Bombyx mori: one gene and its partner. The protein of the gene in region 1 interacts with the protein of each later gene in a pairwise test. Links are inferred from orthologs where the notes say so. Each region holds a gene or a part of one and is shown in the gene's direction. Other genes may lie near its edges. The genes, in order: actin nucleation-promoting factor WASL and formin-binding protein 1-like.

The links.
Region 2: the proteins of actin nucleation-promoting factor WASL (region 1) and formin-binding protein 1-like interact in a two-hybrid assay, tested with the Drosophila melanogaster proteins (3 studies listed by BioGRID, with this or other methods). The link is inferred for Bombyx mori from reciprocal best matches to the Drosophila melanogaster genes WASp and Cip4.

Annotation. Positions count from the first base shown.
Region 1 is NC_085121.1:15,494,883-15,499,352, forward strand, and holds the start of actin nucleation-promoting factor WASL, read left to right. Parts: upstream 1-1,362; 5' UTR 1,363-1,681; coding exon 1,682-1,768; intron 1,769-4,061; coding exon 4,062-4,289; intron 4,290-4,470.
Region 2 is NC_085121.1:6,519,839-6,523,672, forward strand, and holds part of formin-binding protein 1-like, read left to right. Parts: intron 1-421; coding exon 422-578; intron 579-1,699; coding exon 1,700-1,837; intron 1,838-3,420; coding exon 3,421-3,627; intron 3,628-3,834.

The DNA of each region.
Region 1 (4,470 bases):
GTCTACATCGTTAGCTTTCAAATGACACCTCTTTCGTCTTCCTAATTATGGAGGGTAGAGGTAAGGAGAACCGTCTCATATGGAAGAAGCTTGAAAAAGTGTCGCACTTTCAGCAATAACTAACAGTTCAAAAATCCTCCAGAATGGCGCTAGCATAGGCACAGGGTATGATATGAATTGAGCAGTTTTTAACTGATTGAAGTATGCTGAGTTAGGAAATTTAATATATTTGTAGTTAGTGACAGTGTAATACACAAGTTTACGTAGTCCAAACTAATTTCGTCAATATAACCTAAAATTATTGCTGTGGTAAAAGGTGGAGACATCGATTGCATTTTCTTATCAGCTTTAAATAATATACTTTTTGTGATTTTGTAGTGCTTACAGGTCTTTCGTCCTTTTTTATTTCTCTATCTTATTCTAATAACTTTCAGGGCCTTTTTTAAAATTTACCCGGTTGCTACTGTAGCGCCACCCTTATTTAGTCAGTTTTAACGGACACTTTTTCACACACAGAGACGGTTCTCCTTACCTCTACCCTCCATATTCCTAATATGTCTATATCGATCATAGATAGTACACATAAATTCATAGACCTATATAGTAATAAATTATGTAGATGTTGCAATGATTAAATCATTGTAGGCGCCTGAGTTGCGAAGTAGAGGTGCCTCTACCCTCCATACTGCGAAGTAAAAAAAAAACAAAATGGCTGTCATTCTAGTATAGAGGTGCCAAGAGAAAATTGGGATAGTGATTTATCGCTAAAAATTCCCATATTTTACCCCACATAAGTTTCACTGGTGTATTGACACATTGTAATAATAGGTAGTACATAAAAATGAAATTGATTTACCTCCTAATCTACTGTGATGAAATGGATTGAAACGAGACGTGTTCAAAGGAATAAGTTCCAGAAAAATGCTCGGAAGTTATTAATACTTCAGTGAACTTCTTAGAAAACTTTGAATAGCCACAGTACTTTCTTAATTTTCTATAATTAGGTACTTTCACAGATGCTAAGCGGTTATTAGCATTGTTACCATTGGTGCATTAGCACCGTTATTAAATATTAGGTGTCACTAGAAAAAAATATTGACATTTCCTTGACCAAGTCACCGATGCCGCAGATATCGGCTAATAAATTTTATATGCACGAACCGGTTTTTAACCCTGAGTTATGGAGGAAAGAAATAAGTAAAATCAGGGGTGTAGAGACAGATGTCACTAAGGAATTTTTTGTTCGTGTACATAGTAGGTAAATAAAAACAAATTTGCGAATGCTTGGCAACTCGACACGTAGCATATAGTCTGTGAGCACCATAGATTATACACTTAATATATTCGAGAGCACAATAAAATCCATAGACTATACACTTAAGTGTATAATCTATGCTATACACTATACACATTGAATCAGATCAAACAGCACAGTAAGTTAATACGCTCACAGAGGGAGAAAGTGAAGATTTGCAAAATCAGAACGGTTTCCTAAGAACTTTTAGTTTTCGAGATGAATGTTTCCATTTTATGAGAAATGTTTACATGGGCCCAGTAAAAACAGCGGCTAGATAAAACGAACAAAACAACATTAAAATGCAGAAGAGTTTTTGTAGCTGACACATCAGTTTTCATGTGTTTATAGTGATTTTATGTGTGATATCTACGTTAGGCAAGCAAGATGCCGAGGGGAGAGCACAGAACGACAAATCTCCTGTCACGCGAGGAGAACGAACAGGTGTTCAGCCTAATAGGACCAAAATGTCAGGTGAGTTAATCATCCTTTTTAGATCCTTCATGAAAGTAGCTCGCGTTGAATCAGTCCACCTTGATTACGTATCTATAGCCCTATCAATGTATTATCTTATGCTATCTAAACGATAGAGTTGTTTGCGTCCTATTCTATCGCCTGGATGATTGATTAAGATATTATCTTGTTCCTTGTAACGTTAAATGTCTTGTTTTAAATCTAATGAAAATTACAAATCTTTTTAATTTTTTAATAGTATAAAAGGCTTTTGATAAACCCTCGGAACTTAACCGACCGACTACAATGCTTGACATTTCAGGCCCAAGCAATGTTTAGGAATTAAATTACTGTCAATACAAATTTCAACAATGAATTTTTATATTTTTTTTATATTTTCTGTGTACAACAAACTATATATTCAACTAACGTAAATTCTAAATGATTATTAACTCACATATTGGGTTTCAAAACCCACAGATAGGGAATTTTTTGAAATTAAACTATTCTCACACAATCATGAAAGACACTGAAATAAATAAAAGTAATAGAATCTAAACGAAATTCAAATAATATAAAAAGTATATTTACTATTTGTGAACCTCTGAACAGTGGAAACTGTCCCTGTCTATTTCTAATGTGAAAAATTTGGGGCAAAACAATTATGGTTGATATTGAGAGTTCTATAAACTGATAATTCCACATCATGTGTGCTCTTAGCTGCCCAGTTTAAATTATAAAAAAAAAACACTAATCAAAAAAGAGTTAAAAGTACATCTTAACAAGTCAGAAAAAGTGTAATTGCATTTCGACCAGTCATGTCGTGAAAGTGTTCAAAGCCTGCATATGATAGAAATTTCACCCCATAAAGACATACAGTGAAAGTCTGTTACTATATCAGATCTCAGTAAAGTATTTATTACGACAACTGGTTTTGCATGTCTTGTCTATTATACAATATATTCATAATATACATACACATGTTACTGTAGTGGATTATAGTTTAGAAATTTAATAAATCCAATATAAAAAAGATTGTTTGTTGGGAGTGTCTGTATAAATATTATCTATACAATTTCAAGTATTAAATCATCAGTCAACAAATTTCAAAGCGCAACTTATCTCTTATTAAACAATGGTCAAGTACAACCATGAATATAATAATCTTGTACCATATTGTACAAGAAAACCACTACGATTTCAAATTATTGAAATATATGAAAAATCATTAAACATAAAAAATTCACAAATCATTTGGACCCCTCCATATTATCATCTGTTCTATGGGTCTTCATATACTACTTGTATCAATAATATACGGGGTCAGCTCTGTTGTTAGCCACTATCAATAAAAATATATTTCCCACCTCATTACTAGTATCTGATTTGCATATTTTTATGTGATTCAATATAATTATGACTCACTGACTCAATGATTCAGAAAAGAATTGTGTTATTCAATATATTATCTAAAGTCTATATATTATCTATATATTATCTTTTTAGATTTTTCTAATCATTATATTATCTAAAAATTGTGTTATTCAATATAAAATCTATTATCTATTATTATCTAAATGTGGTACGATACATAGTTCTTGGAGCAACATATATACCATAATCTTGTTTCTGTTACCTTTAAAAACAAAATTGAAGCCTCAGCGGCATTGGATTTTATCTGCGACTGAAATAAAGATTTTTATTCTTAAAAATATCTTAGAATACCCATTTACATATATGCCTAGATACTATAGTGACAATAATCTGTCATTTGGTGAAATCAGATACCCTTTGGGAGCTTTAGGCAGATTTAGGATTTGCATTTGTAATGAAAATTTGAATCACATCATCAATTTTTTATTTATTGCTTAGATGGGTAGACGAGCTCACAGCCCACCTGGTGTTAAGTGGTTACTGGAGCCCATAGACATCCACAACGTAAATGCGCCACCCACCTTGAGATATAAGTTCTAAGGTCTCAGTATAGTTACAGTGGCTGCCCCACCCTTCAAACCGAAACGCATTACTGCTTCACGGCAGAAATAGGCAGGGCGGTGGCACCCACCCGCGCGGACTCACAAGAGGTCCTACCACCAGTAAGCCTACATACTTTCCGAGAATTGCCCAAAAAATATACCTATATTTTGACAAAGAATTGTAGTATCCAAAAAATAGTATTTATATTCAAAACTATTTTCTGATTTAGACATATGTTGCGGGCCGCTGTCTGGAAAATAAACTTGCCTGATGAAAGACCCTCTCTTTCATAGTCATCACAAGCAACACATAATTTAAAAATTTAAAATGTTTTCAGAGTCTAGCAACTACAGTTGTTCAACTCTTCACAACTGAAGGTCCAGCACATTCTGAATGGAAGAAGAGAGATACTGGTGTACTGTGCCTTATAAAGGACAATGGCAAGCGCTCATACTTCTTCAGGATTTACTGTTTGTACCGAAAAGCAATGATATGGGAGCACGAAGTTTATATGCAGATAGAATATAAGAACCCAAGGCCTTATTTACACACTTTCGAAGCTGAGGTAAGCTTAAAACTATGTTGAAAGTAAATAATGTAATATTGTATTTATAGTACATATAATAATAATAATGAAGTTGTCTTGGCCTAAAGCAACATCTGGTGTACTCATATCTCATGATATGCCTATAACCATATTATTTGCTTGGACCAACTTTGTGTTGGTTTTCATTGACATAGATGCT
Region 2 (3,834 bases), about 9.0 Mb from region 1:
TTTCGTCCGTCCGTAATACGAGTATGTAGTTCACTTATTTTCTTAATAACTCCCTGACACCCATCTTGAGTGTATGTTGCAAAACGTTTTGTTTTTTTAATCCGACACAATCACTCGTTCCCATTTGAGGAAGCAGCCGTTGTAGTAACTTTGATTCTGGATAGATTGGACGTGGATTCTGCAATTTGATGCTCTTTACAAATGCATATTCCGCATTTTTTTTATTACTGAACGACCTCATATCCCCCTGGTGTTAAGTGGTTAATGTAGCCATTAGATGTTAACAACGACTTCGAAGTCACAATTTAATAATAGTACAACGACTGCCCCAATCTTGAAACTGAAACGCATTTATTAGTGCTTCACGGCAGAACACGTCCTACGACTAGCGATTTGACAGGATCAATAAACTTGTTTCCAGTCGGGCAGAGTTGGAGAAGCAAAAAGCGAACATGAAACTCAGGAGTCAGGCGTGCGAAGATGCGAAACAGGAGTACCTAGAACAGCTTCGCAAAACGAACGAAGCCCAGAGGCAACACTACGAGCAGAGATTACCGCACGTGTTCAAACAGTTGCAAGTACGTGTAATGCAAGCCTTCATTTTGTGCATTAATTTTTATGTATATAGGCGAAGATACAACGTTTTATTACGTTTTTCCCTTCCGTTTGTCATCCGATTTTCTTCTTTTTTGTATTAAATTGCTATTAACGGGCTCTCATGTTATATATATACATTTAAAAGCTTAAATACTTTTCCGTATCTTTATGAGAAAACATGTCGCGATGCCTTCAGTCAGAGCAGATGAACCGAGAGTGCTTTATTTTACATTATATATGCGATTTATATTACATTTGAATATGTTAAAATATTCTTATGTGCCTATTTAATTTGATCGTTATTTTATTGAAGATCCGTGACCATTTCAAAGTTCATTATGCTAACATAAAGTTTCCGCCTTAAATTATTTAAGTCCATATGAAAAAAACATTTGAAAAAATTGTTCACGAAGTTTCGTTTGCACGTGAGCATAAATAACATTATAGTATCAATGTCGCGCATCAGTCTCTTCGACATTAATATGCATAAGGTGAAATGATATCTCAGAAATTCAGATGATGATGTTTTTGCACTAGTTCACACAACTTTTTAACGTGTCGCGAGAATTTTTTTTAGAGAGAACATAAATACTTTAATGTGTATAAATATTATGAGCTATCGCTTCGTGTCCTATCTGACGAAATTAAACCTGTGTATCTCCGGTTCACAGACAACTACATACATTTTGTTACATTTACGAACTGTTTGAAATTGGGATACAATAAATTTTTACATTATTGATAAATTACATTATTGAATGAAATCCTAGCCAAATTCGGTTATTTTATGTAAATAATCGACGGTGGCTACGCTTACATTCTCCAGAATGCATCGTTATTTAGTGTGCACTCTGGCCGAACGCCAACTAGGTCGGGTAGACAGATACGATTTTAAAATGCCTATAATTGTGATATGTGACGTAACCTGCTTTCGGAAATGTCGAAATTCAACAAATTTAAAAAATAAAAATGAAAAAAAAAACATTGATGTGTTTTACAACGCCCGAATTTATGGAAGTTGCCCAATAAATTTATTTTTTCGTCGTAGGTAGAATTTGTTTTTTTGTTGTTGTTTATTCTATATTCATTTCCTTCGCAACAGGACTTGGACGAGAAACGAATAAAGAATATTAAGAACTTTATGTTAAGTTCAGTGGATGTCGAAAGGAAAGTTTTTCCGATCATCATTCAGTGCTTTGACGGGATGGAACTGGCCGCAAATAGTATTAATGAAAAAGAGGTAATTTAAAAAAAATATATATTAAATTATAATAACACAACTCTTATGAAAAGTTTTAAACTAGTTTTAGTGAAATTATATATATTTATGTACTGTGAATTTTATTAACATATTTTATTCAAAGCCATTCACTTTTCGCATTCTTCAAACCGGACGTGGTGGGTTACTAAGCGATTTGTTTCTTAAATATCTTTTTTTTTTACAATCTAAAAATATTTTTATGTTAAATATATTGTATAATATTTGTAATAAAATAACAATCCGTATTTACAACAATAACGAGTTTTGAGTTTTGAATTTTCCTGTTGATATCACACTTGCGGTGATATGATCAGGAAGATTCATGCCGTTGGTTGCAACACGGTAAATGCTTTATAATTAAAATATAAATATTAACAATGCATCTGTACTACTGATTTGGTTGTGGCACAACTTTTGGTACAGTTATCACCACTTTAGGGCTTAGCCGCTACACCCGCTCCTGCGAACCAAAAGGTTAACAGTCGCCGTCGCCTAACACACGTAATTCCGGATCCTCTCGATCCACTATCAGTGCTTTTAGGTACACCAAGCACCGGTTACCGTTCTCGCCAAATCCTTCGTCGAATACGACGAAATTAACTCTTTGCCAAAGCCCACTGAGTTTCCCGCCGGATCTTCTCAGGGGGTCGCGTTTACGATCCAGCGGTAGATTCTGTGAAGCACTGCTCTTGCTAGGGCTCGTGTTGGCAAATTCGTCAGGTTAGAGCTTGTGAGCTCACCTACAAGTTCGGTGAATCTAGTATAACCCCTCGAGGTTACTAGAATAGGTATGAAAAAAGGCTTAGTTCCATTAACGTCCAATAGATGGCGTACGACTCGTTTTTTAAAATTATTTTTATATTATAGCCTCAGCAAGTGTGTCATTAATTAACTTGTTAGGTTACGCTGGCATAGCCTTTCAAGGCTAGCACTAGCTTAGGTAGGGAAAAATAATAATTATAATAAACTAGCTGACCCGGCAGACTTCGTAGTGCCTCAATCGATGAATAAAAGACCTAAACTTTTGCATAAAATAAACTTAAAACAAATAAAAGGAATCCGTCCGACGGGGGACACATCAAAGGGAAAACAAAATTGTTATTTTTATTTAATTCCGAGCATTTTCATATTTATCTACCTTTTAAACCTTCTCTGGACTTTCACAAATAATTTGAGACCCAAATTAGCCAAATTGGTCCAGCCGTTCTCAAATTTTAGCGAGACTAACGAACAGAAATTCATTTACATATATATATATAAACAGATAGTTATAGTGATGGTTGTAGGACCTCTTGTCAGTCCGCGCGGGTAGGTATCACCACCCCGCCTATTTCTGCCGTGAAGCAGTAATGCGTTTCGGTTTGAAGGGTGGGGCAGCCGTTGTAACTATACTTGAGGCCTTAGAACTTATATCTCAAGGTGGGTGGCGCATTTACGTTGTAGTTGTCTATGGGCTCCAGTGACCACTTAACACAAGGTAGGCGGTGAGCTCGTGCACCCATCTAAGCAATAAAAAAAAGAAAAATAGGTTTAACGGTTAAAGTTACTCTCTTCGTTTCCAGGACACAAAATTAGTTATAGACAGGTACAAGTCTGGTTTCGTTCCGCCCGAAGATTTCCAGTTCGAGTTGGCTTCCGGGGCAGACACAACAGACTCGGCGTCGACCCATCACCAGCCGCACAACCACCTGACGGCGTCCCGGGGGACCGTCTCCGGGAACAAGCTAAAGAAACGCGGCGGTCTACTCTCCATATTCAGTTCGAATAAGGTGAGGCTATAGAGTGGAGTGGAAGATTATTTATTGGAGCGTGCATGGTCCCGGAATACTTTGGGTGGCACATTTACGTCGTAGATGTCTATGGGCTCCATTAACCACTTAATACCAGGTGGGCTGTGAGCTCGTCCACCCATGTAAGCAATAAAAAAAAATGGCTTGGAACGAGCCGAAAATATAATAACAGCATTGAATTAAAAT